Linked DNA regions of Nothobranchius furzeri. The protein of the gene in region 3 interacts with the protein of the main gene of each other region in a pairwise test. Links are inferred from orthologs where the notes say so. Each region holds a gene or a part of one and is shown on either strand. Other genes may lie near its edges.

What was found.
Region 1: the proteins of htt (region 3) and ercc6l interact in binary tests that used the Homo sapiens proteins (3 or more experiments, as listed by UniProt). The link is inferred for Nothobranchius furzeri from reciprocal best matches to the Homo sapiens genes HTT and ERCC6L.
Region 2: the proteins of htt (region 3) and zfyve19 interact in binary tests that used the Homo sapiens proteins (3 or more experiments, as listed by UniProt). The link is inferred for Nothobranchius furzeri from reciprocal best matches to the Homo sapiens genes HTT and ZFYVE19.
Region 4: the proteins of htt (region 3) and mbd4 interact in binary tests that used the Homo sapiens proteins (3 or more experiments, as listed by UniProt). The link is inferred for Nothobranchius furzeri from reciprocal best matches to the Homo sapiens genes HTT and MBD4.
Region 5: the proteins of htt (region 3) and trafd1 interact in binary tests that used the Homo sapiens proteins (3 or more experiments, as listed by UniProt). The link is inferred for Nothobranchius furzeri from reciprocal best matches to the Homo sapiens genes HTT and TRAFD1.
Region 6: the proteins of htt (region 3) and cep63 interact in binary tests that used the Homo sapiens proteins (3 or more experiments, as listed by UniProt). The link is inferred for Nothobranchius furzeri from reciprocal best matches to the Homo sapiens genes HTT and CEP63.
Region 7: the proteins of htt (region 3) and ppa2 interact in binary tests that used the Homo sapiens proteins (3 or more experiments, as listed by UniProt). The link is inferred for Nothobranchius furzeri from reciprocal best matches to the Homo sapiens genes HTT and PPA2.

What each region holds. Positions count from the first base shown.
Region 1 is NC_091750.1:36,677,206-36,681,179, forward strand, and holds the start of ercc6l (DNA excision repair protein ERCC-6-like), read right to left. Parts: upstream 2,801-3,974; 5' UTR 2,694-2,800; coding exon 2,641-2,693; intron 1,744-2,640; coding exon 1,681-1,743; intron 1-1,680. UniProt on the Homo sapiens protein: DNA helicase that acts as a tension sensor that associates with catenated DNA which is stretched under tension until it is resolved during anaphase. Functions as ATP-dependent DNA translocase. Can promote Holliday junction branch migration (in vitro).
Region 2 is NC_091758.1:34,203,342-34,207,278, reverse strand, and holds the start of zfyve19 (abscission/NoCut checkpoint regulator), read left to right. Parts: upstream 1-1,137; 5' UTR 1,138-1,278; coding exon 1,279-1,332; intron 1,333-1,428; coding exon 1,429-1,550; intron 1,551-1,634; coding exon 1,635-1,691; intron 1,692-1,767; coding exon 1,768-1,934; intron 1,935-2,010; coding exon 2,011-2,177; intron 2,178-3,128; coding exon 3,129-3,237; intron 3,238-3,337; coding exon 3,338-3,550; intron 3,551-3,668; coding exon 3,669-3,745; intron 3,746-3,900; coding exon 3,901-3,937. Other genes in the region: bub1bb (mitotic checkpoint serine/threonine-protein kinase BUB1 beta), read right to left, coding at 33-92, 193-335. UniProt on the Homo sapiens protein: Key regulator of abscission step in cytokinesis: part of the cytokinesis checkpoint, a process required to delay abscission to prevent both premature resolution of intercellular chromosome bridges and accumulation of DNA damage.
Region 3 is NC_091746.1:25,505,601-25,509,100, reverse strand, and holds part of htt (huntingtin), read right to left. Parts: intron 2,539-3,500; coding exon 2,418-2,538; intron 2,074-2,417; coding exon 2,014-2,073; intron 1,923-2,013; coding exon 1,843-1,922; intron 220-1,842; coding exon 81-219; intron 1-80.
Region 4 is NC_091755.1:54,388,487-54,392,722, forward strand, and holds the start of mbd4 (methyl-CpG-binding domain protein 4), read right to left. Parts: upstream 2,801-4,236; 5' UTR 2,578-2,800; coding exon 2,459-2,577; intron 2,389-2,458; coding exon 1,661-2,388; intron 685-1,660; coding exon 619-684; intron 524-618; coding exon 389-523; intron 312-388; coding exon 162-311; intron 77-161; coding exon 1-76. Other genes in the region: ift122 (intraflagellar transport protein 122 homolog), read left to right, coding at 3,631-3,671. UniProt on the Homo sapiens protein: Mismatch-specific DNA N-glycosylase involved in DNA repair. Has thymine glycosylase activity and is specific for G:T mismatches within methylated and unmethylated CpG sites. Can also remove uracil or 5-fluorouracil in G:U mismatches. Has no lyase activity.
Region 5 is NC_091757.1:46,521,896-46,525,912, forward strand, and holds the start of trafd1 (TRAF-type zinc finger domain-containing protein 1), read right to left. Parts: upstream 2,801-4,017; 5' UTR 2,792-2,800; coding exon 2,651-2,791; intron 2,149-2,650; coding exon 2,093-2,148; intron 2,003-2,092; coding exon 1,867-2,002; intron 1,004-1,866; coding exon 950-1,003; intron 796-949; coding exon 360-795; intron 279-359; coding exon 1-278. UniProt on the Homo sapiens protein: Negative feedback regulator that controls excessive innate immune responses. Regulates both Toll-like receptor 4 (TLR4) and DDX58/RIG1-like helicases (RLH) pathways.
Region 6 is NC_091756.1:60,715,228-60,719,189, reverse strand, and holds the start of cep63 (centrosomal protein of 63 kDa), read right to left. Parts: upstream 2,801-3,962; 5' UTR 2,648-2,800; coding exon 2,607-2,647; intron 2,507-2,606; coding exon 2,329-2,506; intron 769-2,328; coding exon 673-768; intron 594-672; coding exon 504-593; intron 435-503; coding exon 330-434; intron 219-329; coding exon 45-218; intron 1-44. UniProt on the Homo sapiens protein: Required for normal spindle assembly.
Region 7 is NC_091746.1:80,712,818-80,714,881, forward strand, and holds the end of ppa2 (inorganic pyrophosphatase 2, mitochondrial), read left to right. Parts: intron 1-554; coding exon 555-682; intron 683-787; coding exon 788-873; intron 874-958; coding exon 959-1,028; intron 1,029-1,110; coding exon 1,111-1,150; intron 1,151-1,234; coding exon 1,235-1,257; 3' UTR 1,258-1,564; downstream 1,565-2,064.

The DNA.
Region 1 (3,974 bases), on a different chromosome or scaffold from region 3:
ACAGCCGACAAAGGTTTATGATGGGTCAGTCCTCCTGCATGCTCAGATCATTCCCTTCCCTTGCTTGAAAAATTGTTCCAAAATGAAAGTTGAACCCACATCTTTTTTATCTGTGAATTCAATGCCGTTTGGCGAGTCTCAAATAAAAATTTGGGCATCTTACTGTAAAAAAATATACCATTAATGTAAAAAAGAAACTCTAAATAAACTATGTTCACACCCAGAATCAAACCCAGGTCTTCTGCATGAGAGTCAGACATCTTACTAGGTGAGCTAAAGCACCAGTGATGTCCTTTGTATCTGTAACATTTATATCCTTGATGACAGATGAAACAACGTCAAACCAAAGAACGGTTCGGAGTGAAAATGGCTATTTTGTTGCTAATTTGCAGGAAATATCTAGAAGAAAGTTCTACAGAAAGTAGCTAAGGGTCCTCAGAAATGTAGCTAGCTTTGTCACTAGGCGTTAGGAACAGCGACAAAGTGGCACTGCCTCTCTCTCTGCTGCTAAAGCTACGGATAGCAAACGCTACGGGCGATGCCTGAGCGTGAACGCGCATGAAGCAGCCTGCTCGACCCGAGCATCTCTCTTTTTCTGTGATTTTACAGAAAAACAGGCAATCACAGTAAAAAATGCCAGAGCTCATTCTACAGGACCAGGGCATTGCAGGAGAACGTATGAAGAAGACATTTATTATTTCTATACATGTTTGGCTGTCAAACTTCCATAATGCCCCTTTAAGGTCTAACGATCAGTTGCTACTTTCTGTTCCTTTTGCTCGCACACAGTTAGGAAAGAGAGCCTTCGCCTGCTCTGCTCCTTCTGCTTGGAACCAGCTGCAGAAATCCTGGAAAATGACCGAGCAGGTTTCACTAAATGCCTTCAAAACCAAACTGACAGCTTCAGAGACCGCATTAGTAACTTGTAACTGCTTTTAATGATTGAGTGTTTTATCATTGTCATTTTGTTAACTGGAATTTTTGCTGCCTCTTGGCCAGGGCTCCCTTGTAAAAGAGGTTCTTAACCTCAATGGGTCTCTATCCTCGTTAAATAAAGGTTAAATAAAAATAAAAATAAAGGTTCTTTAGCAGTTCAGACTAAATGATTTACAGTAAAAACATAAATTAGTAAATCTGCATCAAGTTGGCTAATAGAACCAGGAAACGAGTCACAGAATCACCAATTTGTAGCACATTTATGTAAATTAACATTTTCTCTTAGTGATAGTTTTCATTTATTCCACGCTCTTTATCTAAACATGAAAATAAAACATGTTACTGAATCAAGGACGCATTTTCAGAGCTAAAATTCAGCTTCCTATCAAACTGTTATTGATGTTTTTGAACATTTCATCCAACTTAAAGAGTTCGTTTACATGCTGATCACAAATGTGTCATCTAAATCAGTAACAACTTTTATCAGGAAGAGCAAAATGATTCGTAAACAATAAGAAAATAAATGAATACTAGTTGTGCTCACAGTGTATTTATTATTTCCTAAAATAAAGAATAAGTTTATGAGTGTATGTTTGAGCGTGGGGGCTAAAAACACCCACACACAAGATAATTACAGACTTGAGAGAAAACTGCTGGTTTTATTTCTAGTCCTTCAGTTACTCAGCTCATCAGATATGAAGGAATTTCATCATAATCAAAAACAGATGATTGTGTGTGAGATACCTGGTATACTTCTCCATCATCTTGTCCTCTGCGTGGTTGTCCTCTGCGTGGATGGACAGAGATCTGGACAGAAAAATCTATGTTAGAAATTCAGAAGATAGATCTCAACTTTACTGAGCAAGACCAAACACGTTCAGATTTCAGATTTATTGGCCAAGTAAAATTACATTTACAAGGAATTTAGCTTCGGTAGATGTTCGCTCTCTAACACATACAACAACTACAATAAATGAGAATAAAAATACATGAAAAACACATAAGAACACGTATACCCACACACATGTTCATTTACACACACACATATATACATATGTATACACACACACACACACACTCATATCCATAAGCATACTGAATAAGCATTAAAACCTATAATAAAAAGATGGTAAAAGAATCTACAGATTCAGGAGAGAAATGGCTGAATGAAAGAAACTGTTCTTGTGTCTGATAGTTTTTGTGTACAGCGATCTATCGCGTCTGCCAGATGGGAGGAGATGGAAGAGAGTAGATGCAGGATGTGTGGCATCTTGGACAATATTCACTGCCTTTTTCCTGGTCCTGCTGATGTACAGTTCCTGGACAGAGGGCAGCTGGGCACCAATGATTTTTCCTGCTGTTTTAATAATACGCTGTAGTCTGCATTTGTCCATTTTTGTGGCTGACCCAAACCAGACAGTGATGGATGAGCAAAGTATGGATTCCACTGCAGCAGTGTAAAAGATGATCAGCAGCTCTTGTAGTAGGCCGTACTTCCTTAGTTGCCGTAAGAAATACATCCTCTGCTGAGCCTGCTCCTTTGCCCGTCTCAACGGGCTCAGTATTGCTGTAAACCTTGGCTTGTAAAATTGGAGAAATAACTAAGAATTGATGTTACGGAAACGCATGTGAGTTCAAACGCCTTTAGCAGCTAGCTAGCTAGTTTGGTAAACGCTCTTGTAAATGCACCGTAAGCTCACTTACTTTTCGAGTCTGTCAGAAACATGAGAAACCTGTTCATCGTGACGAGAGTCCATTTTGTTACTTTTCTGCTAGTCCGTTGTAATAATACAGCAATAAACTCTACGCAGATGTTTGCATTTATATCTTCTCGGATTTCTCCGCCATTTTTTATAGCCAATCAGAGACCACGCTGTGATCCCATATCCGGTTACGCTGTCCAATCACAAAAACGACTGGGCAGAACTTAGTTACGTAATTTCCGACTTGGAAATTCTGATGACAACGTACGACTGAATTCAAATTCAGCCAAGAACGAGAAGGTGTTTAACAGTTTGATGTAATAAGCTTAATGGTTCACCAGCTATTAAATCATTTTGGTGCTTTAATAGAATTCTGTTATTTAAATTTTTAACATCTAATACATTTTGGCATGTTTTGAATCTACAGTTGCAGTTAAACATTCCTCCTGTAGAGGGCGATGTCTCAAAAACTGTAAAAGGAAAGGCAGCTTTGTTTGTACAGCACATTTCATACACAAGAGTAATTCAGTGTGCTTAATTAGCAAGAATAGTAAGAACATTAAAAATCATCAAGCCAGAAAGTACACACAAACTAATTTTTGATTTAAAAATTAAAAGAAAGGGACTTAACTAAAGGGTGAAATTTACAATGATTATACAAAAAATATGTATAAAACTACAGCCTAGAGGTACTTTTATGAAGTGTCGAGAATGCATAACTGTCAAGTACACAGGTGGCAGGTACGGCCAGTCACACGTTGGCAAGTATCAGCAGAGCCAACAGATGAGCTTATGGATGGTTCTGATAGGAAGCAGGCTTCAAAACAAGCGGTTGTATTCCACTTGGTCCTAGTGCTCAATCAGTGTCTACTTAATATAGCGTAATATATTTTTGGGATGGTAAAAGTGCAGGGACCCCCCCCCCCCCCCCCACACACACACACACACACACACCAATCGGGCATCTGATTAGGATGCCTCCTGAACGCCTCCTGAGGTTTTCTGGGCATGTGCAACTGGGAGGAGACCCAAGGGAAGACCAGGACACGTTGGAGGGACTTTGTCTCTCAACTGGCCAGGGAACGCCTTGTGGTTCCCCCGGAAGAGCTGGGCTAAGTAACTAGAGAGAGGGAAGTCTAGGCATCTCTCGGCTTAGGCTGCTGCTCCCGCGACCCGACTCTGGATAAGCGGTTGAGAATGGATGGATGGAGGAGGTGGATGCCAGAGGAGCGCAGGGTTCATATGGTAAAAGTAGGTCTGAGAGATAAGAGGGCTGAAGACCATTAAGACCCTTAAAAACAATTAGGAGTACCTAAATATCCAAACAAGAATACA
Region 2 (3,937 bases), on a different chromosome or scaffold from region 3:
TTTAAGACAATATTTTTAAATATTTAACTCACCAATCCCAAACATGAAGTGGATCGTCTCCATCGTACATTCGAAGCTCAGACTCAAAGGCCCTAAAGAAGCAAAAGAGCAAAAAGTGCATTATATTTTAAACTACATACAAAAGATGTTCCAATTATTTTAGAAATACTAAAGTTTAATGGATTATCTTACTGTCTCTGTTGGTTGATTGCAGATGTGGGTCCATCTTGCTGCTGACTGAGGGCCTGATGTAAAGCTGATATTGCTCTGCCCCGCCTCAGCGGCTGGATGTTTTCTTTGCTAAGCTCCCAATCCACATCTTCTCCTTCTGCCATTGTGGAAATAAAGACCGGTGAACTGCAGGAGAAAACACATCATTCAATAATTCAGTACTAATTATACTTAGTTTATGCACCAACATCTGAGGGAAAAACACACACACACACACAAACTTGTAAGAATGAAGTATCTGGTGCAGACTGTTGCTGATACTCTAGAGTAAATTTGCACAAAAGCTTGAACATATTTGTAAACCTAGTAAATTACGTTGCACGTGAGCAAATACTCTACAATAAAACCAATGCAGTTCATTTCTGCTCAAAGCCCAAAAGCAAGCACTCTTCTTTCAATGCATTTTACAATCTTTCTTTTTAATGTTTACAATTATGACTCTTAATTCCAAAGCAATACATAAAACCAATTTTAAATATTTTATTGTTTTCAAAAATGCAAACACAAAGAAGTAAAAAGTAAAATAATATGGATGAAATAAGCAAATCCTGAATTAGATAACAGAAACTTTCACGATGCTAAAAAGTTAGCTACAAAAACACAATAAGCTAACACGTTAGCTAGTTATTTGTTGCTTAGCCGTGTCAATTATCCCAATACATAAAGATTTTCCAGTTAAAACTAGTATAGCGTTAACATTAATCGACTAACTGTGTGTTTTCATACCACTTTTAGAGTTTCTTTGTCTCCTTCGCCGATTACTTGCAGCTAACGATGAAACAGGGACAACGTTGAAATGGAGACCTGTCTTTTAAACAAATCCCGCGAGAGGATTTGGAGATAGCTGATTGGAGGAAATACATAACAGGAAAAATGCCAACTACTTCATACATCATTTCCGGTTTAGTTCCTGTTTTGATAATGCATCGTTGACAAGCTGAAAACAGATAGCTAATTCAGAAATTATTATTGCTTTAGCGCTTTTCTTCACCTGTTGGAATTACGTAAATTGTAATCTTACGGTTTCATGACGCTACACGTGACAGCATGGACAGTCGCTGTTATTGTTGTGCATCAAAGTTTAGTCTCTTCAAGAAAGAGGTATGGATTTACTAATAAATCAGCAATAAATATGTACGCGTTCGTGTGTTTGTGGACACGTGGTTAATATCTGGATTGTGCTGACTTCTATGATAGCTGGGCTGTAAGAGCTGTGGACGAGCCTTCTGCTCCAGCTGTTTGACTTTTAATGCTGTGGTGCCTCGCTGTGGTAACACCCAGCAGAAGGTCTGCAAGCAGTGCCATGGTAATTTGACAAGGTAAACCTCACCCGACACAATAAACCCCAAATTAATTATTTTCCTTTAATTATCTAAAACCTATTTTATCCTTTTTATTTTTAGAGGGGAGACTTCTTCACACAATGCTGGAAGATGGTCTCCTCCAGAAAATTACAAAAAGTTAGTGTTTGACCACGTTTGACAAAGAGGCCGTTACAGAAGTTTCATACTATCTAAAGTTCTGTTTTTTCCACAGACGAGTTGCTGCGCTGGAGGCAAAACAGCAAGGACAGTCGACTCAACCTGCCGTACACGGGGGAAGCAGAAACAGCAAAGTAGGCCATCTACCAGCAAAAGGCCTGAGTAAAGAAGACCAAGCTATTGCTGAGAGACTTCAAAAGCTGAAAGAGGACACTAAACCTAGTAATGAATTTAATCATCAAGCATTTAAAATAAATCTGAAAAATGCTAAACAGGATCTTTTAATGCAAAGCAATAGATTGCTTTTTAATCATTTCTTCAGGGTCCATTCCTTCAGAGAAGGAAATCGAGTCACGCCTTGCTGCTCTGAGAGTCCCCATCCAACCTGTTCCTTCTACAGAGGAGATGGAGAATCGTCTGGCTGCTCTGCGAAGTCATCCTCCACCATCTCAAGCTCCTGCTCCTGTGAGTTTTCCTCTAATTTCTTCTATCATGATAATGATAAATGGCCCACACTTGTATATAGGGCCACTCTGAGTAAGGACTCCAAAGCGCTTTACACTACAGTGTATGATTCATCCATTCACACAAACATTCACATCTTTACTGATGTAGCCACACCACACCCTCCGACCACCACCAGCAGGCAAGGTGGGTTTAGTGTCCTGCCCAAGGACACAACAGCAGAATTCTCAGTCCAGAGCGGGGATCGAACCTGCAACCTTCCGATTACTGGACAACCCGCTCATCCTGTTGAGCTACTGCTGCCCCAGTTTTCTATAATTGTTGTTGTTGTTTGTAAATGAAAATTTACTCTCAAACATTTTACCTGTTAAATTAAAGGTGGGAAAATATAAAAAAAATTGTACTCCTTATGCAGCTCAGCCATATTCAGTGGTTGGAAAAATGGCATTGAATTAAATGTGTTGCTAACAGAGTTCTTTAGTAACGTATGATCAAATTAATTACGTTGTTTCCAATACTGACAAGAAAATGTAGCACGCTACTATAATTCAGCAGCAAGGTGTGTTGAAGCTGACATCATGTGACCAGGAGCTAAAGGGATGGAAACAATCTTACATGTGCTGCTAATTTTCTTGCATAATTTATTTAGAAAAAGTAACGAAATACTTATTTTCCTGGTAATTAGAAACTTTTATTGCATTGTCATTCCATTACTGACTCAGTTACTTTTTGTAGTAACTATAGTAATTACTTTTTCAAAGTAATTTGCCGAACACTGGTCGTATTTTAAAGTGTTGAATAATTCAATGTAATGGTTTTTAATTAACTTACATGTTCGTGTGTGTGTGTGTGTGTGTGTGTGTGTGTGTGTGTGTGTGTGTGTGTGTGTGTGTGTGTGTGTGTGTGTGTGTGTGTGTGTGTGTGTGTGTGTGTGTGTGTGTGTGTGTGCAGGTGCACCAACCTCCTGATACCCGGACTCAGACTGAAAAAGCCAGTGACTTGTTAACCCAGCTGACGGAGGAAGTTGCCATTGACAACCAACAATCAAATCCTGAACTCAGTTAGTGATCACAAGGGTTAATGTGTTACCAAAAAACCTGTTTCAACAAGCTTTAAAAGGCAGAAATCCCCGTCTAAGTACAGCAAACACTGTCTTGCAGGCATAGATATGAATGATCTGAACAAGGGGGAGGGGGCTACGTTGGATGAGAACATGGAGGACAACCAGGGAGCAGTCAAACAGCTGGAGGCAGAGAAAGAGCGTCTACTGGAGGAGGCCATGAATGAGCTGAGGAACGAGCGACATACCCAGGATCAAATCCTCGACATGGCCAAGAGGCTGGCCCAGTTAAAGGGCCAGGATCCAAATAAAGGTGCTCAGAGCTGTTTCCACACCCACCTTCTCTCAGTCACGAGATCATCGCTGCAGCTATGACAGAACTGTTGATATTCACATTTTCATTAGCTGACATTTTGGTGTTGCACACTTAGTCACTGCAGAGGATTTCCAACAACCTGACAGTGAAGAGGAGACTGAGGAAGAAGCTGTGAGGAGAGTGCTAAAACAGGTCAGGGAGACGACACATTTATCACTACACCCACATGTTGTGGTTTACTGTTTTAGACCTTTTAATGGCTGCCACAAGAGGCTGCTGTTAGGCCGTTTAATAACTGGTAATGACAACTGGCATGCTCTGAACTTCCTGTTCTTGGTTGGCTCCAGCTCTCAGAAGAAGCTGCACTCGACGAAGCTAGTGGGT
Region 3 (3,500 bases):
CGGTCTGACCGCACAGACGGATACTTCGCCAAGAGGCCAACACATAACTCTGACAAAACACACAAGTGGGCGGGGCGCACCTTGACTTCGCCGTCGTTGGCGAAATGTCCCAAGGCTGACATGATCTTGGGCACCGCTGCAGCCAGAGTCTCCTGAACCATTTCCTCCTGCCGTTTGGTGATTCTGGTGAGGCATGGGAGCAGGTTGACCAGGTACGGTCTGCAGCGCAGAGAGAAGCACAATCAGGTTGTGATGTATTTGAGTCGGAGACAACACTGAACGTGACTAGTCGCTGCCACGGTGGCTACACGAGGAGTTCTCAGCCACATTTTAACAAAACAAGTTTAGTCGTTAAACAAGTTTTAGGGATTCGACAGAAGAAAAACTACAAATAAAACTCTAAAAACTGGAATCTGGAGAAAAAGTCCATTCATGTAAGTAATTCAGCTCAGACTGAGAGACCATCTAAAGGCTCAGGAACCCTCTGCAGGTGTTCTGGATTCATCAGCTGATTAGACCGTGACACTTAAGAGTCTAGAACATTGAACAATATTCTGATTGCTGGAGATTTTGAATGTGGGGTTTTCATCAGCTGTAACCATTATCATCACAGATGGAACAGATAAAAGCCAAAACATCTGGATTTGCATGAACCGAGTCAGTCTCTGATTAGTTTTACCTTTTAGGTTGTTTTACTGACATAAATTAACTTCTGCACCAGATTCTGATCGTTTCATTTTCACCTGGCTCTCAGCAACGCAGCTTAAATCATCCAGCCCATTGTTTTACGTAAACCTAGAAGACCATGTTTAAAGGTGCATCATGTAGAAATGAAGTAAAAATGACATCCTGTGGTAAAATGTGGTTACTGCAGCCACGTTAAAGAGCAAGTCACCCCCAAATCAACATTTTTTTTCCCGATAAACTATATAAACGTGTGTCTAATCGTGCTGCAGACACGTGTAGTCAATAGTTTTGCACTTTAGTGCATTTTAGTTAAAATTCTAATTTTCTGCCTGAAACTGGCAGTGTTGTGCCGTTGTCAGGTAAAAAGTCTGCACTGCATTTGAATTTAAATCTGCCACTGCTATTGGCTAAGAGGTATGCTATGATGTAAACTGGTACATTATGATGTCACAATGTCGTGAGTGTGTGTATTTGTTAGTGGCTCCACCCTCTCGGTCTGCTAGGCAACAGCATTTGTTGCGCTTTTCAAACATGAAGTGGGAGTGAAGTACGCTTCTTGTAGGGGGTGACTTGCTCTTTAAAATTCAAATGTTCTGCCTAAAACCGTCAGTGTTGTGCCGTTGTCAGGTAAAAACTCTGCACTGCATTTGAATTTAAATCTGCCATCGCTATTGGCTAAGAGGTACCCTAGAATGTTAGCTGGTACCATATGATGTCACAAAGTCGTTGTGAGCCTGTGTGTGTATTTGTTAGCGGCTCCGCCCTCTCGGTCTGCTAGGCAACAGCATTTGTTGCATTTAACAAACAGGAAGTGGGAGCGGAGTAAGACTCTGGTAGGGGGTGACTTGCTCTTTAAACAACTCTGGAGCTTTTTGCCGGCCGTCGTCGGCGCTGCAGCATTAGCTCGGCAACGCCACACTCACTGATGTAAAGCAGTTACGTCCCTCCTTCCTTTGTATTGAAAGGAGAAAATCTGACAATTCCCACAGCCAGCTGGATATGAAACATGTTTCAGTTTAACCTTCCTGCCAACATGACTGAAACAGACTCTTATGGGATTTTCACACTAACATTCTCACTATAATCTTACATACTGCACCTTTAACGTTCAGCCATCTGAATATGACGACATAACAGGAACATTTAGACAGCTACCTGCATTTCTGTGGTCGGATGAGATGAGCGAGCTCAGCAAACCTCCACAAAGCTGCTCTTAGACTCCGAGAGGCACCGTTCTGTTGAGCCGTGAAAAACAAATGACAACGCTTGTCGTTATTTACTAGATCACAAACTAAACTCGGGGTACTGTAGAAACCTGCAAGCGACCTTTTTGATTTCTTTGTACAGCTCCAGCTGCAGTCTGGGCAGGTTTGAGTCCATCAGAGCCTGAAGAGTTAAAACAAGCACTGGTTCAACAACGAAAACAAACAGAAATCCTCACAGAGATCGTTTTATAACAACTAAACTGTTTTCTGTTCATTAAAATCAAAAGTTTCCTTTAATGCAAAAATTAGGAGAAAACCCCTCAAAACTACTTGAGGCGAAGCTTTTCCCTCGACCCCAACTCTCGACGTCTGTGCTGATGGGAAACATGGAGGGCCAGATTTAATGCAAACTGCGACATAAACGCGAGTCTGCCGACAACAAGCCAGTCAGTCAGATAAAAAGTCCAACACCGTCGAATCAAAGCCAACTTTAAAGTGGGAGGAGTCTTGCAGGTTTTTGCTCACTTTGATGATTTTGTTCAGGCACTCGTCAGCTACCATCCGCACATCTGATTCACCGTCGTCGCTGCAGAGAAGGAACATCTCCATGGCGATGCCGAGCAGCTTCTGGAACTCTGGAGATGTTCTGTTTGCAGGATCACACACAGCAAACATCAGGATTGGCATAACACGCCTGAGCCCTTTTCAGATTGGCATTCTGGAACATGTGTGGACAATTCAGTCCGGTTTTTAAGCAGGACTGTGTTTTCAGACACACCACTTTTGTACCTGAACTTGTCCTTTCAGCTGCCTTCACACAGCAGGGAAAAGTTCCAGATGTCTGAGGGGGAGGGGGTGGGAAGGCTGGACCCGGATATTGCGTAAACATGGTGCGGCGGGCGTACATGCGTCATTTACCCAAACAAAGCTATTCATTCAAACATGGCCGACGAAGAGCTAGAATTCCTCTCACTGGTCGGACTTATGTTAAGCATAATTCTGCACACATGAAGACGAGACCTGGATGATGAAGCTCAATGGTTAATAAAGGAATCACGGAAGCGGTGTGAAGCGCTCCGTCTCGCGCCTAGGAGACGGTACCGTAGGAGGCGAGCTGCCATGGATCACCGCAGGCTACAGGAGCGAGCCATCTAGGTGCGCACAGCGCCTCCCGGTCCCCTCCCTGTCCGGAACTCGACCTCACCAGTCTGAAGCAGCTAACCTGTCCGTGACAAGTCCGGTCCTGTTACTAGGGGCTTCGTCCGGTTTAATTACGGAAAAGGTTATCCGGATGTTTGTATTCAGACACAAAGGTCTTAAGGACAGAGTCCCGAACATTTCCGTTTTTCATGGCCTGTCTGAAGGGGGCTCTGGAGACGTAAATCTCATTTTTATGACATGAAAGTCACCGTTAATAGACCCTTTTACTACCTACGTCATCAAAAGTTGCGCGCGCAGCCGGGCAACGAGAGTGAAGGCTTCCTCATTCACACTCGATACTAAAACAGCGTTTTAAACCCTTTGTTTTGAAGTTCTGAGCACATAAAAATGTCGGGTTGTTGCGTGTATATTATTACCAATTAATTAAGAAATAATACATTCAATGTG
Region 4 (4,236 bases), on a different chromosome or scaffold from region 3:
CTGTAGGAGTCGTTGCCATACTTGCCGATGCCATGCAGCTCAATAGGATAACGCCACTGTTTGTTCAGATATTCATCTGCAGGAGAGAAGAGAGCTAAAAACATGCACGCGTCACAGGGTAGAAGCACCAGAAGTGGACAACGTAAACCAACAACACACACCTGAGAATCGGATGATTGTTTTGGCCCGGAGTTCATACAGCCCAAGTGGCCTCATGAGGTCAGACATGGGCTTCCAGTCGGCCTCCCTGGCCACCTCCGCTGATGGGTAGCGCTCATAGAACTGCCATAGCACTGGAATGGCCATCTTACCTGTAATAATTAAATGCTTTGGTACCGACTCAAGTTCATCACTCAGAAGGTGGAAACGTGCTGCGGTGCAGTCCTACCGCTGGTCTTATTCAGAAAAATAGTGGCAACCAGGAGCTTCCAAGGGTCATGGAAAAGGGTTTCCTGTATGAGGTTGAAGGGAGATCGAGGGGGTGTCCATTTCCTAAAAGCCTTTCTCCTGGGTGGGCTGAGTCCTGAGTAGAGAAAATAAACATTTCTCTAAACAACAAACATAACTGACTCTGATATGAGCGACTTTCTAAACTCAAATGGCTTCTTTAAACTATACCTTCTCGGAGAGGTTTCTTGCTAAAATAAGGGCTTGTTCTCCACTTGTTCTCCAAACTCTTAGACTCTATAATCAGACAGCAAGCTTTTAATAAACCAATCCGTCACAAAGACATTAGGAGGTTTTCAAAAACACAACCTGAACTTAAATCTGTGACTTATTTAAATATTGTTGCAGACACAAACAAAAGTAATGTTTTCACTGACAATCTCTGTATTTGTGATGGTCAATCGTGTAATCCAACAAATTGTGGAGATCTTTGTACGGTGCAGCTCCTGGATGGGTCTAAGATATCCACATCCTTATATCTCGTCTCTACCTCGTCCTCTTTGTTGGTTAAGCTAAAGTCAGGGTGCTTTTCTGACAGCTTCTAGGATCCTTTTTACATGTTTGAGTCTGCGGCGGACTCTTCCTGGGCAGCTTTCCCAGCTCATGCAGCAGGAAGTTAACCCACTCTAAGAGCAGCATCATGCGTCTCAGTAGGAGACCAAAAATTCTAATCATTCAGTAAAAGTTTTGGTTTTGTTCTGATGAAATAATCACAGTTCTCTCTGCAGATGCCAAAGACTCAGTTGGTTCTAATGGATATGATCTACCCTTGCTTGAAGAGACGCCATTTTTCCTGAATGAACCTTTAATGCATACTGTCAACATCCTACTCATTACCAATTAATCTGCAAGAAACTTTCAGAAAAGGGAAACTTGTATATTCTTCAATGTTTTCTTTCCTTCCAATTGTACTGGTCTGCAGGCTTTTCTGGAGCCAGCCTTGAACCTGATCAGGCACATTAGGCTTCTAATGCGTTGGTGTCTGAAGAACTGGAGCCCTATCATGGCCTTTTAGTAAAGAAATCAGTTTTCGTCAGTTATCGTTTTGTCAAACTGATGCATTGTTTATTCTTCTTGAAACTAAATTAGAAGACGAACTTGAAATCTAAAATGAAATATGTTATTAGTGCAACTGGTATTTTCATCATAATAAAGTACAAATTCTGATTCATAAGGTCTTCTTATGGCGTCGGACTGTGTGGATAACACTTACTATTCCTGGGTGTGCTGCTCCTGGTGATGCTGTCAGGTAACAACACCTCCGTCTCCTCTTCCTCGTGACTGTCAGCATCACCCGCCACTTCAGAATTAGACTTGTCACCTTCGCTGTGATTCGGTGTAACATCTGTGTCTGGTGCACTCTCGCCATCATTCATGCTCTCAGCTTCAGCATTCAGAGCTAGGGCTGAAGGCTGCAGCTCTGCCAGTTTGTTTTCGTGAAGAGGGAAGGAGTTTTGTTGATTTCTGGCAGGAGCAAGTCTGAGTATCTTGTCTCTCAGCAGCCCTGTTCTCTGATTGCTCCAATGTGCATCATCCACTAACTGTGATGGTGCAACATGTGAGCAGCTCTGCACAGACTCTTTACGTTTATCTTCGCAAACCTTTTCTATATCTGTAGAGATCTCTGGAAAATTATTGCACAACAAGTCATTCTCTACAATCTTTACTACAGTGTCCTTAGCTTTACTTCTGTAGGAGGAAGAGTGTCTTTTAGATTTACGTGAGGGAGTGTTCAGATATTCATCAATCTTCTCCTTACACCCACCTGCTCCCTTTTGCTCCCCTCTCTTCTGCTTTTCTTCAGAATGAAGTGATGATGAGCTAGGTAACTCATCTCTGGATGTAGTAAAATCAAAAAAGTTCATGTCCAGGTTTACTCCTCCACCTTTTAACAGGAATGCATGCAAGGATGCTCTTGAGCGGAATTTCTGCCCTGCAGGACTTAAATAACAGAAACATTATTTAGACATGATCTAGGATTAAATATCAGGGTGGAGAAAAAATAAGATACCTTGTTATGTAAACATCCAATTTTCCTGCTGTCTTGCCTGTTCTTCTCTGCCTCACTTCTCTAATCCACCCATGGGGCATTGGGTCACACGGTTCCTCCTTGGGGCTTTTAACATCCATTCTGCCGCTGAGCTCCTTTTCACAGTATGATGCACTTAATATATAGTTGAGTCAATGATGAAATTTGGGTTGTAGAAGAGCCGCGTTTCTTGTCATCTTTGCCTTTAATTTGCAGCAGTAACACATACAGCAGATAAAAAAAAAACTCACCGTGTTATTTAGAAAGTATCACCAGCCACCATTGATATTAGTTTATTTAGCCAAATAGGAGTCTGTAGTGTGCATACTGCTTGTTTCCCGATGTAAACATTTGAGCGGAACTAGTTTTGCAGGCATGCAGGAAGTGGATCCGCTCCTTTTCTAGCGGGTTAGCGGGTTGGAAGTCCTGACGGGCGAAGATGATATACGTGCATTAGAAATATATATATAACAGGAATAAATACGCTTTCTGTTCATTGTGGGGGATGCGAGGAGATGAAGCTACTTCTGTCTTGTACTTCTGGGTTCTGCGTGGGGTGGGTTTTACAAACTCCGCCTACGCGGAGCAACTCTACGGTAGCCGGCAATTTAATGGTGCTGACCTACAAATCACCAGACATGCTGCATTTGTGTCCCAACGAAAATCGGACCTAGCGGCAAAACCTTTGCTACTCTTTAATCGGGCCAACACTACGAGCGAAGAACAACACATTTTTCTGCATTGGATGTCTTCTAACACTGTATGAATATGTTCACCAACAGGGCTTGTATGTTACTGCGTGCGACTAATTATTAATACGATGGAAGCCGATAAAATATCAAATAAGTTTATTTATTTAACATTTAATGTTATATTTAGCCTGGATTATTGAGTATTGAGGTCGTTACTTTTCAGAAGTCCCACATTTTGAACTGTATTTCTAAATTTCAATGTTTTTTTATATTTTGTTTGGTTGGTATTTGGTTATTTTTTCTACATGAATCCAAGAAATCCCGACCTCTGAGAAGATCTGGAACAAACCACGAGTTTGCGCAGTGTGACCAAATCCTTCCATTGAAGAAAAAAAAAGACGAGCTGTAATAGCTACTTGTTGATTCAAAAATATTTTGAACGATGTGCAATTATAGGTGAAGATGAGGGCGAATCACTCATGGACAGCTTCAGTTCGTGAACGGTAAGTGGTGGCAAGAGTATTATTATGTTATCCTTCAGATAAAGCTAGCTCATTAGCTGGGTAGCAACCTAGCAACGGTGGTTGCTATGTAAACTAGAGGAAGCCTGCTAACACTTAGCCCTCCAGCCATTCTTTTTTTTTATTTAAAAAAATATGTATTTTATCTCGCTGTATATTAGTTATAAAACATATTTTTTCTAATAATGTAACGCGACCTCTCGGGTCGGGTGAAACGTTACTGTTAAGTAAGCTAGCTTATGATGTTTCGACTCACTTGACCGCAGTTCTTCGATGCTACAACTAGTATATGAAACATTTTTACCGGATTATGCTGCCAGTGTTTATTTACAGAAAGCTTTGTGTTTGTGGAATATTAAAAAATCGTAAGATTATTGTTTTAATTGTTTTTGTTGTGTGGTCCTCCTAGCCACCAGCTTCGACTCTAACAGCGTCTAACTTGTTCTTTTATTATTTTTGATCAGTCTGATTCTGCTTGTGAATCTGCAAAAACTTTTTTGACCAAGGGGATTCAGTTCTATTGTTAAAAGACATGCAATCAATTTCA
Region 5 (4,017 bases), on a different chromosome or scaffold from region 3:
GGCCTGGACAGCACTCGTGTTTGTCCCTCCACTGAAGACTGGATGGTTGTAGTTGGACTCAGAAAGTGAAGATTTTACAGATGTGTTGGACTTCTCGATCTTTTGGTCCCAGGGATCACGCCACACGTTCCCCTCAGCGCCTCCAGCCACTGAGTCTCCATCACACTGCAGGCTGAGAGCCAACATGTAGTCGAGACCTGATGAATCCTCGTCCTCTGTGCATGCGTTTGGTAGCCATGCTCTGCTGCTTCCACTCAGAAAATCACTCTGCTCCAAGACTAAAAAATATAATCACACAAACATTTCAGAAAATACAAGTTTACATGCCGACTGATACTCTTGAATTAAAACACACTCACAGCGGCTAAATGATGTTTTCTGAGAAGCATTCTTCCCGTCTCCAGAGGGCAGAAATCCTCTTGAAGGGTTGAAACCTGGGGGTTCAAATGGTTGAGGAAAGCATTGCTGTTCTGCTGCACTGATGTTATTATTTTTAAAACCTCTGTCTTGGGTTCTCAGGAGATTTCGGATGGAGTGTGTTTCAAGCCACGCATCTGAAGGTGGTTGCTCTGCTTGACTGCAACTCGTCTTGCTGTTGTTTCTCTCTTGGGGCGGTGTGAGGCTTCCACATATGACTGAGTGCACGGTTTGTTCTCGTAGCATCACGTTGCAATTGCATTGTGGGCAAGGCTCGGTGCGCGCTCCACAATAATCCTCGTGCTCTTTGGACTGACCGAAAACAAGCTCCAGTTCGCAGTACTGGCATGGGACGAGCCGCTGAAGACACTCAGAGCTCTGCAAAACAGACAGACAATAGAAATATGAAGGTTAAATAGAAGAAGCCAGTGTTTTACAGCTTCTTCCTGCAGTTAAATAACATTTTCCACAGTTTCCACAACCCTTTGGCTGAGTAGCAATATGGTATGTAGGACATTAATCTTCACTGTACCTGATGTACATCTAGAAAATTCTTCTCAATCTTCAATCCACACTTGCACATAATCTGAAGCAAAAGATTAAAAAAATGTTTGAAGTAACAAACTAGAGGTTGACCAATATTGTTTGTTCTATAACCAATGCCGATATGTAGGACACGGTCAGCCGATGGCCAATATGTACTGCCGATTTTCATGGCTGATATCCAGAAGATATCCACCTTATTTTCATACTAAAATGTTCCTAACAACATCAGTTGATGCACAAACCTTCTGAAGCTGAACCGGTTTATGAACTCTGAATTTAACTAAGTGCTCAATCTTAACTTTGTGCACTGCTCAGTGTTAAAAATAAAGTTAACTTAGAGCATTTATTATGCAGATGTTTTTAGTGAACGTAAAAACACATTTAAATTAAATTTTGCAACACCACGAGCTGCCCGAGGATGCGCCTAACTTTGAATCGGCTCTACTTAGGACAAATATCGGCCGATGCCAATACATTAAAAAAAACTGTAAATATTGGCCCGATATATCGGTCTTACCCCCTAGTAATAATCATACAGTTTCAGTATGATGTTGCTTTCTAATTAGTGGTTTTCATTGGAAATTAAGCTACTGTTGGCTTGATGGGTAATTCACGCAGAAAATTACTTGGGAAGTAAAAAAAATCTCAGATAAAATTCCCCATACTGTAAATGTATACAAGGCTACCCTATCAGGACTATTAGTGACTCTCAGAAAAAGACACAAAGAAAACATTTTTGTTAAATCCTTGTTTTTTTTTAAGGTTAAGACCTTCAGTAATAAATACAAACATGTCACATGTCGATGTATATTGTGATATTAATGTAAATTGGTTACATCATTAACATTATGATATTATTATATTCTATAACGTGAAGGTTTTAGATGTTTTGTTCAGATGTACCCGAGTGTGCTCTTGAATCTTGTGCTCCAGAAGATCTGAGTGAGGCACCGGCTCCTGGCACACGTCACAGAGGGCGATGTTTCTTCGACAGTGAATCTCATGGGTGGTAAAATTTGCCTCAGGAATGTCTCTCTTACTAAACAAAACAACAACAGATTTGATTTAAAACAAACATACATATAGGCTATGAAATACATTAATGATCATAAGATATAGTCATACTTACCAATTACCACAAAAGAGTGTGTTTTCATCTGCCATGACTGTCCTAAAGGCTGTAAACTAAAAAGCAGAATTATTAATCACACAAACCAGCTTTTCAGGGTAAACTGGTTTTAAAGAAGCTACGTTTAGTATTAGATAGTAATTAAACATTATTTGATGCTGCATCAGATGTGAAACGTTGAATCAGTTAATTCAGCTGTTTGTATTTAGTGTCAGAGCGCTAATGAGCTGCTTGTTTTAATTCATGGGAAAAATGCTCCGTGAGTGTACAATGCAGATGTCTGACTCAGCAAATGAAACTGCGCTTTCGCTTTACTCGATCATTATTTAAAAGGAATGTAACTAATGCTAGCAGATAGAAAACGGTCCATAATAAAGCGGTGATTCTTTGTTAGATGATCAACAAACACTTTAACGACTTCAGAGTTATAATAGCTTCATTGTCTTTAGCTAAAATCCAACAGTTAACAAAGCAGCAACAAAGCCGCTAAGCTAGCGAAACTGAAGGATTCGAGACTTCTTCCCACAAGAACACAAAATACGGTCATTTTGAGGTTACCAGTGGCCAAGTAGTAAATTTTAACAAACGACAGAAGACTTCCTGACGAGAACTCGAGTGGAAAAACTGTTCGTTCCTCGGTCTTTCCGCTAGAGAAAATCTAAACCCAGTGTATTGTCTTTCAGGGTGCAGCATTGGCATCAGAACAGTCAAACCAAACTTTATAACAACAATGTAAAATAATGTTAATGGGTTAAAAGACAATTGATTTGAATGTGAAGTTGTATCTAAAAATTACTCAGCCATGATTTTTAAAGAGTTTAAGATAAAATTTTCCTGTAAACCCTAACTCAGGGAAAAACAATTTGTCCACGCTCCAATTTGATTGGTTGGGTAAAAGCAGTGCGCCATGAAATGTTTCGGGTGATACCGATGCTCCCCAAATATTCGTTCCTCTAAAAATTTGTCATGATTATTCGAGAATGCTTTAAAATATACTTTACAGCTTAAAAATGCTGTAGTAATCTATACACAGTGTATATGATACTTTAATTTTTTAGGAACAAATAGCAAATTACTGCTGCCACTTCCCATTTTAAAGAACAATGTGTCAGCTTCATAGTCCTAGAAATCCAGAAAAAATATTTTTCTGAGATTTCCAAGTTACATTCTCCCCATCACAGAGTCTTATTTGAAACCATACTGCTTTTGGTGATCTTTTTTAGTAAAGCTTGTAAAAACTTTCTCAAGATTAAATGAGCCTGTGACTGAACCACCATCAGCTGAAGGTCTCCAGATGATGTAGTTTATGGGGGGCCACTTGTAAATTCATAATTTAACAGCAGTATTTATGGTTACATAGCCTATCATAAGGAAAAAATGGGAGTAAAATTTCAAAATTAAATTTTCAACATTTTATTCATGCATTTATAAATGTTAAAAGTTTCTAACAAAACATTTAGTTAGCAAGCAAAATATTTAGTTTTACAAACTAAATACTTAGGCCAGATCTAAATATTTAGTTTGTAAAATCATTATTTAATTTACTAACTAAATATTCAATTTGGAACTAAATGTTTAGTTTACAAACTAATTTTTTAGCTTCTAATTAAATATTTATCTTCCAAAATTAATATTTAGATCCCAGTTAAATATTGTTTTGGAGCTAAACCTAATATTGATTTTGCACAAATGTTATGATGTAAATATTTTTGGGGCAAATTAATATTTACACAAACACAAATGTTGGCGATTCTATGAGTTTTGCACTACTAGCTCTTAAAGCAGCTTTTGACACAATGGACTGAAATGATCAATGTCTGGAGTAGTGGAGCGGTTTAGATGGTTTATTTTTTGCTTTAGCCTTGTTGATCTTGTGTCATCCTCTGTTCCTTTCCTGTGGGGTACCACAAGGTTCAGTTTTAGGA
Region 6 (3,962 bases), on a different chromosome or scaffold from region 3:
GCTGAGAAGCCACACATCTCACATGTTCCTGTCGCCCTGCTAACCTGCTGCTCTCTCTGGGACTGTCCCAACAGCACCTCCAGCGGTCTGAGGCGATCCAGTTCCAGTTCCTGTGAGTGCAGGCTGGCCTGAGCCTTCTCCAGCTGTGCACGCAGATGCTGCACCTCTGAACAGCACTCCTTGTGTTCCCTCTCCACCCGCCCCGATGCCCATTGGCTCTGGAAAAACAAATATTACTGAAATGCAACAACAATGCAGCAGTCTTCCACACTTTTATACACTAAATATGTCTGGCTTCCTGAGTGAAAGTCATAAATGTGCTTTTTAACCTTTAAGTGAGCAAGCTCCTGGTTCAGGCTTTTATTCTGGAGCTCCAGTGTGGTCAGCTGGTTTTGGTACCGAGTTCGCTGCTGCTCAGAGCGCTGCTGATGCTTCTGCACCAATGTAAGAACGATTAATCAAATTCCAGGAGATGGAAATGCCAGGAAAATCTATTAGTTCACCTTTGCAAGCTCAGTCTCCTTTCCACCTCCACTTGTCTCCTTAAGCTGTTTGCGATGAAGCTTCTGGTAACTTCTCTTCAACTTGTCCAACTATAAGAAACGATGTTAACAATAAACATGATACAAGCGATATAGCTGAGTGCATTTGAGGAAAAACAGATGATCACACCTCTTCACGGAGTCTCTTTAGTTGTTGTTCGTACTTGGATACCAACTCTTGCCGATCCGTCTGAACGGCTTCAAGCTGCTTGTGAAGAAGTCCAATCTGCAACAAATACATGAGGCATAATACTTCTGTTTTTATGTGTTTTTTAGATGCCTCTAAGGCCTTTGACAGAGTCAATCATCAGAAATTATTCATCAAGCTACAAAACAGAGGGGTCCCTTCTTACCTAGTTAGGATTTTGCACTTCTGGTACTCTCATCAACTGATGCAGGTAAAGTGGGGGACAGAAGTGTCTGAACCTTTCTCCGTATCAAATGGAGTCAGACAAGGCGGGATTCTGTCACCTGTCCTTTTTAACCTGTACCTTGACGAGTTGTCTGTTACTCTGAATGCTAGTAAGACTGGATGCTTGGTGGGTGACCGACTGGTAAATCATTTAATATATGCAGATGACCTAGTCCTCATGTCTCCCTATAGCGCAGGCCTGCAGCAGCTGCTCAGGGCATGTGCTAAGTATGGTGAGCAATTTGACATCCTGTTTAACCCTAAAAAGAGTGTGGTTATGATTGCTGCTACTAAAGGGGACCTGAAGCTTAATTTTCCATCTTTTAACTTAACAAATCAGGTCCTGGAAGTGGTAAGCAAAGTAAAATATTTGGGGCACATTTTAAGAAGTGACCTCTGTGATGACGAGGACATTAAGAGGCAGTGTGGTAAGCTGTACATGCAGGCTAACACTCTGGCACGTAACTTTGGCATGTGCTCAGATCCTGTAAAAGTGTCCCTCTTTCGTTCCTTTTGTACTCCTCTCTATACCGCCCACTTGTGGTGCAACTATAGTAAGGTAGTAATGAAGAAGCTTCAAGTGGCTTATCAGGATGCTTTTAGAATCCTCATGAAGCTCCCTAGATGGACTTCGGCAAGTCACATGTTTGTTACGAGTAACATCCCAACTTTTCATGCGCTTCTGAGGCTCTTCATGTACAAATTCATCTGCCGACTGAGTTTGTCAGCTAACGCGGTTGTTAGAGCTCTGTCATCTTTATCTTACAGTGACACGAGGTACTCCTCAGTCCTTTTTAAACATTGGAGCAACTGCCTATATGGTTTGTAATTAGAATGTGTTTGTATTTTATTTTTTTATTTATTTTTTATTTTTTTTATTCTTGTTATGGACATATCCCTTGTCTGAAATAAAGTTTGATTGATTGATTGAATAGGTGATGGTGTTATTATGGGAATAGAGATAAAATGCTTCATGCCACAACTATTTACTGTCTCCTTCCTTACGGTTTAAAACATGTCCTAAAACCAACATCCTCACACATTTACATTTATTTTTGAAACATTTAATTGAATCTGCAGGAGGTTTTGTTTTGAGAGTACAACGAATCTTCATAGCAGAGGCTTTCTGATCATTTAAGGAATAATTTAGTAAGTCTCCAACATTAGGTGAGGCCAGAAATGGAGACAGTGGCCATAAAAACTGTTTTAGCAGGAGAGTCCATGTTTGGAATTGGAAATGGGATGGAAAAATGTTACCTTCAAAATGCTGCATGTCAAAATAAGGGCATGCTTGCTTTTTTATTACAAGCTTCTGTGTTGATTAAATTACTTTTGTGATTCTTTTGAGCAAAAAAGGATGAATCGTCACTTCACCTCCAGATCCCTCCGTTCAATGGTAGTCTTGGAGGTTAAAAGCTCTTCTTCTCCACTGGTGACCCTGAGCTGCAGAGCGTGGAGCTCAGCCTCCCACTCCCTCTTCTGATGATTGATCATAATGTCAATCTGTCTCATCAGCTCCTGCAGCTCAGGCTCGCATGAGGACAGGACAGAGCTGCGTAGCAGAAGATTAAAGCGTGTTATCAACTTCATTTGTGTAAACACGCATCTAAAGATGGCTGACTTAGCCTCACGACAAACCAAACGTCTGTTACCTTATATCAGGATTCTGTATTGATTCCAAAGAAACCTCCATCTCGTTCAAAAATGGCGCCGTCTGTCCCCTCTGCGCGCTAAGGTGCTACAACACGGTGGACTCTATCCAGATTGTCCTTACAAGCTAAGACCGGCACGTTGTAGAGTATAAACAAGTTTGATGACATCGCTACGTCAACAACACTATTCGGCGTTCAACTGCTTTTCTTTACAAAGAATTTCCGGTTCCAAGGCGGTACATCCGCCTTCTAACTGTGACCTCATTACGTTTTACGTAGGCAACATTTTAAAAAATGTAATTTATTATTTGGTCTTCGACTTTAAAAATAAGGTTTGGGAGGGAAAATTAAAGAAAAAACAAACACATTAATCTCACGGCTTAAGATTCAGATGTCGTGTAACGTGAAGGTACGTCTGAAATTCCATGAAATTAGACATTCTATTATAGTGTGTAAAAATACAATAATACTTTTAAAACAGTACATTTACAGAAAAACTACATATCACTTTAAATTAACTTTAAATTATTTTATGTGTCTTTCCCGGACACGTGGCTCGTTGGTCTAGGGGTATGATTCTCGCTTCGGGTGCGAGAGGTCCCGGGTTCAAATCCCGGACGAGCCCATAATTTTTAGCATGGTCATTTAGAATGTGATTTGAAAATTCGGCGGTCTGCTGTCCGAACATATTGGTCGCTGTGTCGCTGCGTGAGTGTTGTATAAATTATCTGCTTGGCCATGGCTAGGGAAGAGGGATATCATGATAGCTTTTCCGTTTTTACCGCAATCCCGCGAGCAAGGTGTCATCGTGAACCGATGCTTCAACAGCACAAATGTCAAGAAAACATGAAACATTTATTACCTACAATATACATATGTTCCTTTAACACATCAGCATTTTGTTGGTAGAGGGGTATGATTCTCATATTGAATGCGAGAGACTCCGGGTTCAATTCCCAGATGTGCTAAGTTTTCTTTATATGTCTTTTGAGAAACATTTTATCAGGATGTGTTATGGTTAAGGAAAAAGCAAAACACATCACCTACTTTGGAACGTTCATCAACCCCTCCTTTACCACTCCCCCTTCCTCACCCATCTCTCCACCTGCCTTCATTCAAACTAAACAAAGAGCGTTTCCTCCGCTCTGCATCCCCAGCTGTTCATGGGAGGGCTTTTGGCTGTTTCGCCCCCACCAACGCAACAGACGCTCTAGCAGGAGGCAGGCAAGCTGCTCTCTGACATCATTCACAGCACAGACACCGAGCTGCACAAACCTAAAAGAAAACACCGCAGATACACACATCACCTGTAAGTAATCTGTTTTATTACAAACTATTATCTGACCATGGCTGTTT
Region 7 (2,064 bases), about 55 Mb from region 3:
CTAGCTTTTATATTAGCTATCGACACAGTAAACAGTTACTGCCGTAAAACAGGCAGAGAGCTCCCCCTAGTGTACCTATCCGAACCACAAAACTGTCAAGTGCAGTTTCTGGTTAGCTGAGTGCTGTCCAATGTAAAGTTGGTCTAGTTTCTGCTTCAAGAATCACTGAAACCAGTTAGAAAGCAATAACGTGTGGAAAAACTAGTGTTGCTTTAACGTAACTGTACAACTTTAATTTCAAACCCATCTGGCTGCACACTTAACGGCTAGCTAAAAGGTACATGGCAGATCGTCATAATGGATGTGTTTGCTCAACAATAAACACCAGGTGGAGTTTTTATTGTCAACATGGTTTTGTTTATATTCCTCTCTTCAGACAGATCATAAGACCTTGTTTTTTGCCCAGCAAGCGTGTTTCTTAATCTAAACCTGTGTTTAACCCACCTATCCTTTCTGCTGCTTAAAGCACAACTATAAAGTTGATTGTTTTTATATACAAAGTTGCGTAAAAACTTTCTAGTTTCTTACTGTTTTTAATGCCGTTTGCATCTCAGGTATAGAAGACGTCCGCAAGAGCCGACCAGGTCATTTAGAGGCCACCGTTGACTGGTTTAGGAAATATAAAGTGCCTGATGGAAAGCCTGAGAACCAGTTTGGGTTTGATGGACAGTTCAAAGACAAGGTTGGCCCCCGTATAATAACTAATAAAACACGTCCGTTTGTGGTGAAGCTGAACTGACAGAAGTGAGTAGACCCAAAGGTGAAATCTGTTGCTCTCTGCTGGCAGGACTTTGCAGTTGAGATCATTAAATCCACCCATGAGCACTGGAAGGCGCTTATACAGAAGCAAACGAATGGTGGAGAAATTGAATGGTGAGTGAAAGGAAGAAACAAACACCTGCTGCATGTTTTATTTTTGACTGCAGCAAACTCGGCTAACTTCTTTTTTGTTTTTCAGTAAAAACGTGTCTTGCTGTGACAGCCCTTTCAAATGCAGCCATGCTGATGCCACAGCGGTCGTCCAGAAGGTGAGAAGTTTGTTACCAAACACAATAAAAGCTTTCAAATCGGAACCGAGATTCGAGTCATTCACATAATGATTTGGTCCAGGCTCCTGCTCCTGGTAGTGCACGTCCTGTATCTTCAGAAGGTAAGCGTGCATTAACCTTGGATCAGCTGTAGTCATTCGCCAGCATTTAATACTCTAACAGATTGTGTTTCACACCTGACACAGTGGACAAGTGGCACTTTGTGTGAAGATCCTGGAGCCAAGACTGAATGTGGAGTGAAGAATCACGAATCATCAATGCAGCTGGATTTATTTTTTATAAACACTCCTTTCTGTCATAAAGTTTCAACTGGAACTATGTGATGGGGACAGAGCTAATACCCCCCCATGTGGACAAAATGAGCTAGTGCAGACGTGTGCTGCAGTAATGGTGTGTGCTGGAGTTCAGCTTGGTGGGATTCTTTGGTGTTAGTTGTACAAAAAAGAAAACTCCCAAAGTGAATCTGCCAATGTTTTTGAAATTATACATTTATGGGCTCATTTGGCCACTTTGGAGTGTGCTTCTGTGTAAAGAGTTATAGTGTCTACCATCTACCAGTTTCTGGAGAAATGATTTTTTTTGGTCCGGCAGGATAGGTGAGCCAACTGCTAGTCTGAGCGACGTCAAGATCAAAGTGTGTTGATGCGAGCTGAAAGCAGCCCCAGTCTCCAAAACATCTGTGCTTTAAGAAGATGTTTACATAAATCCTTGCTCTGCTGTCATAATCTGACATTTTGCAGCTGCTGGTGATCAATATTCCTGTAAACACCCACAGAATTACATGTAAATTATCATGTAATGCTAAACCGATGGCTGTGTAAAAGTTTTTAGGAGAACATGGCAATTTCAGCCGTTACACTAACGTTTTAGAATAGCTCATCAGTCCTGTGTGACTGAACCCAGTTTGGGAAGCCGTCTATAACAGGTAGGATCACAATTAGACCCAACTTTTACACAAACACATTTCAAAGTGGTTAAAATGTTTCTAAACTTTGCTTTTAGAATCCTATAACAA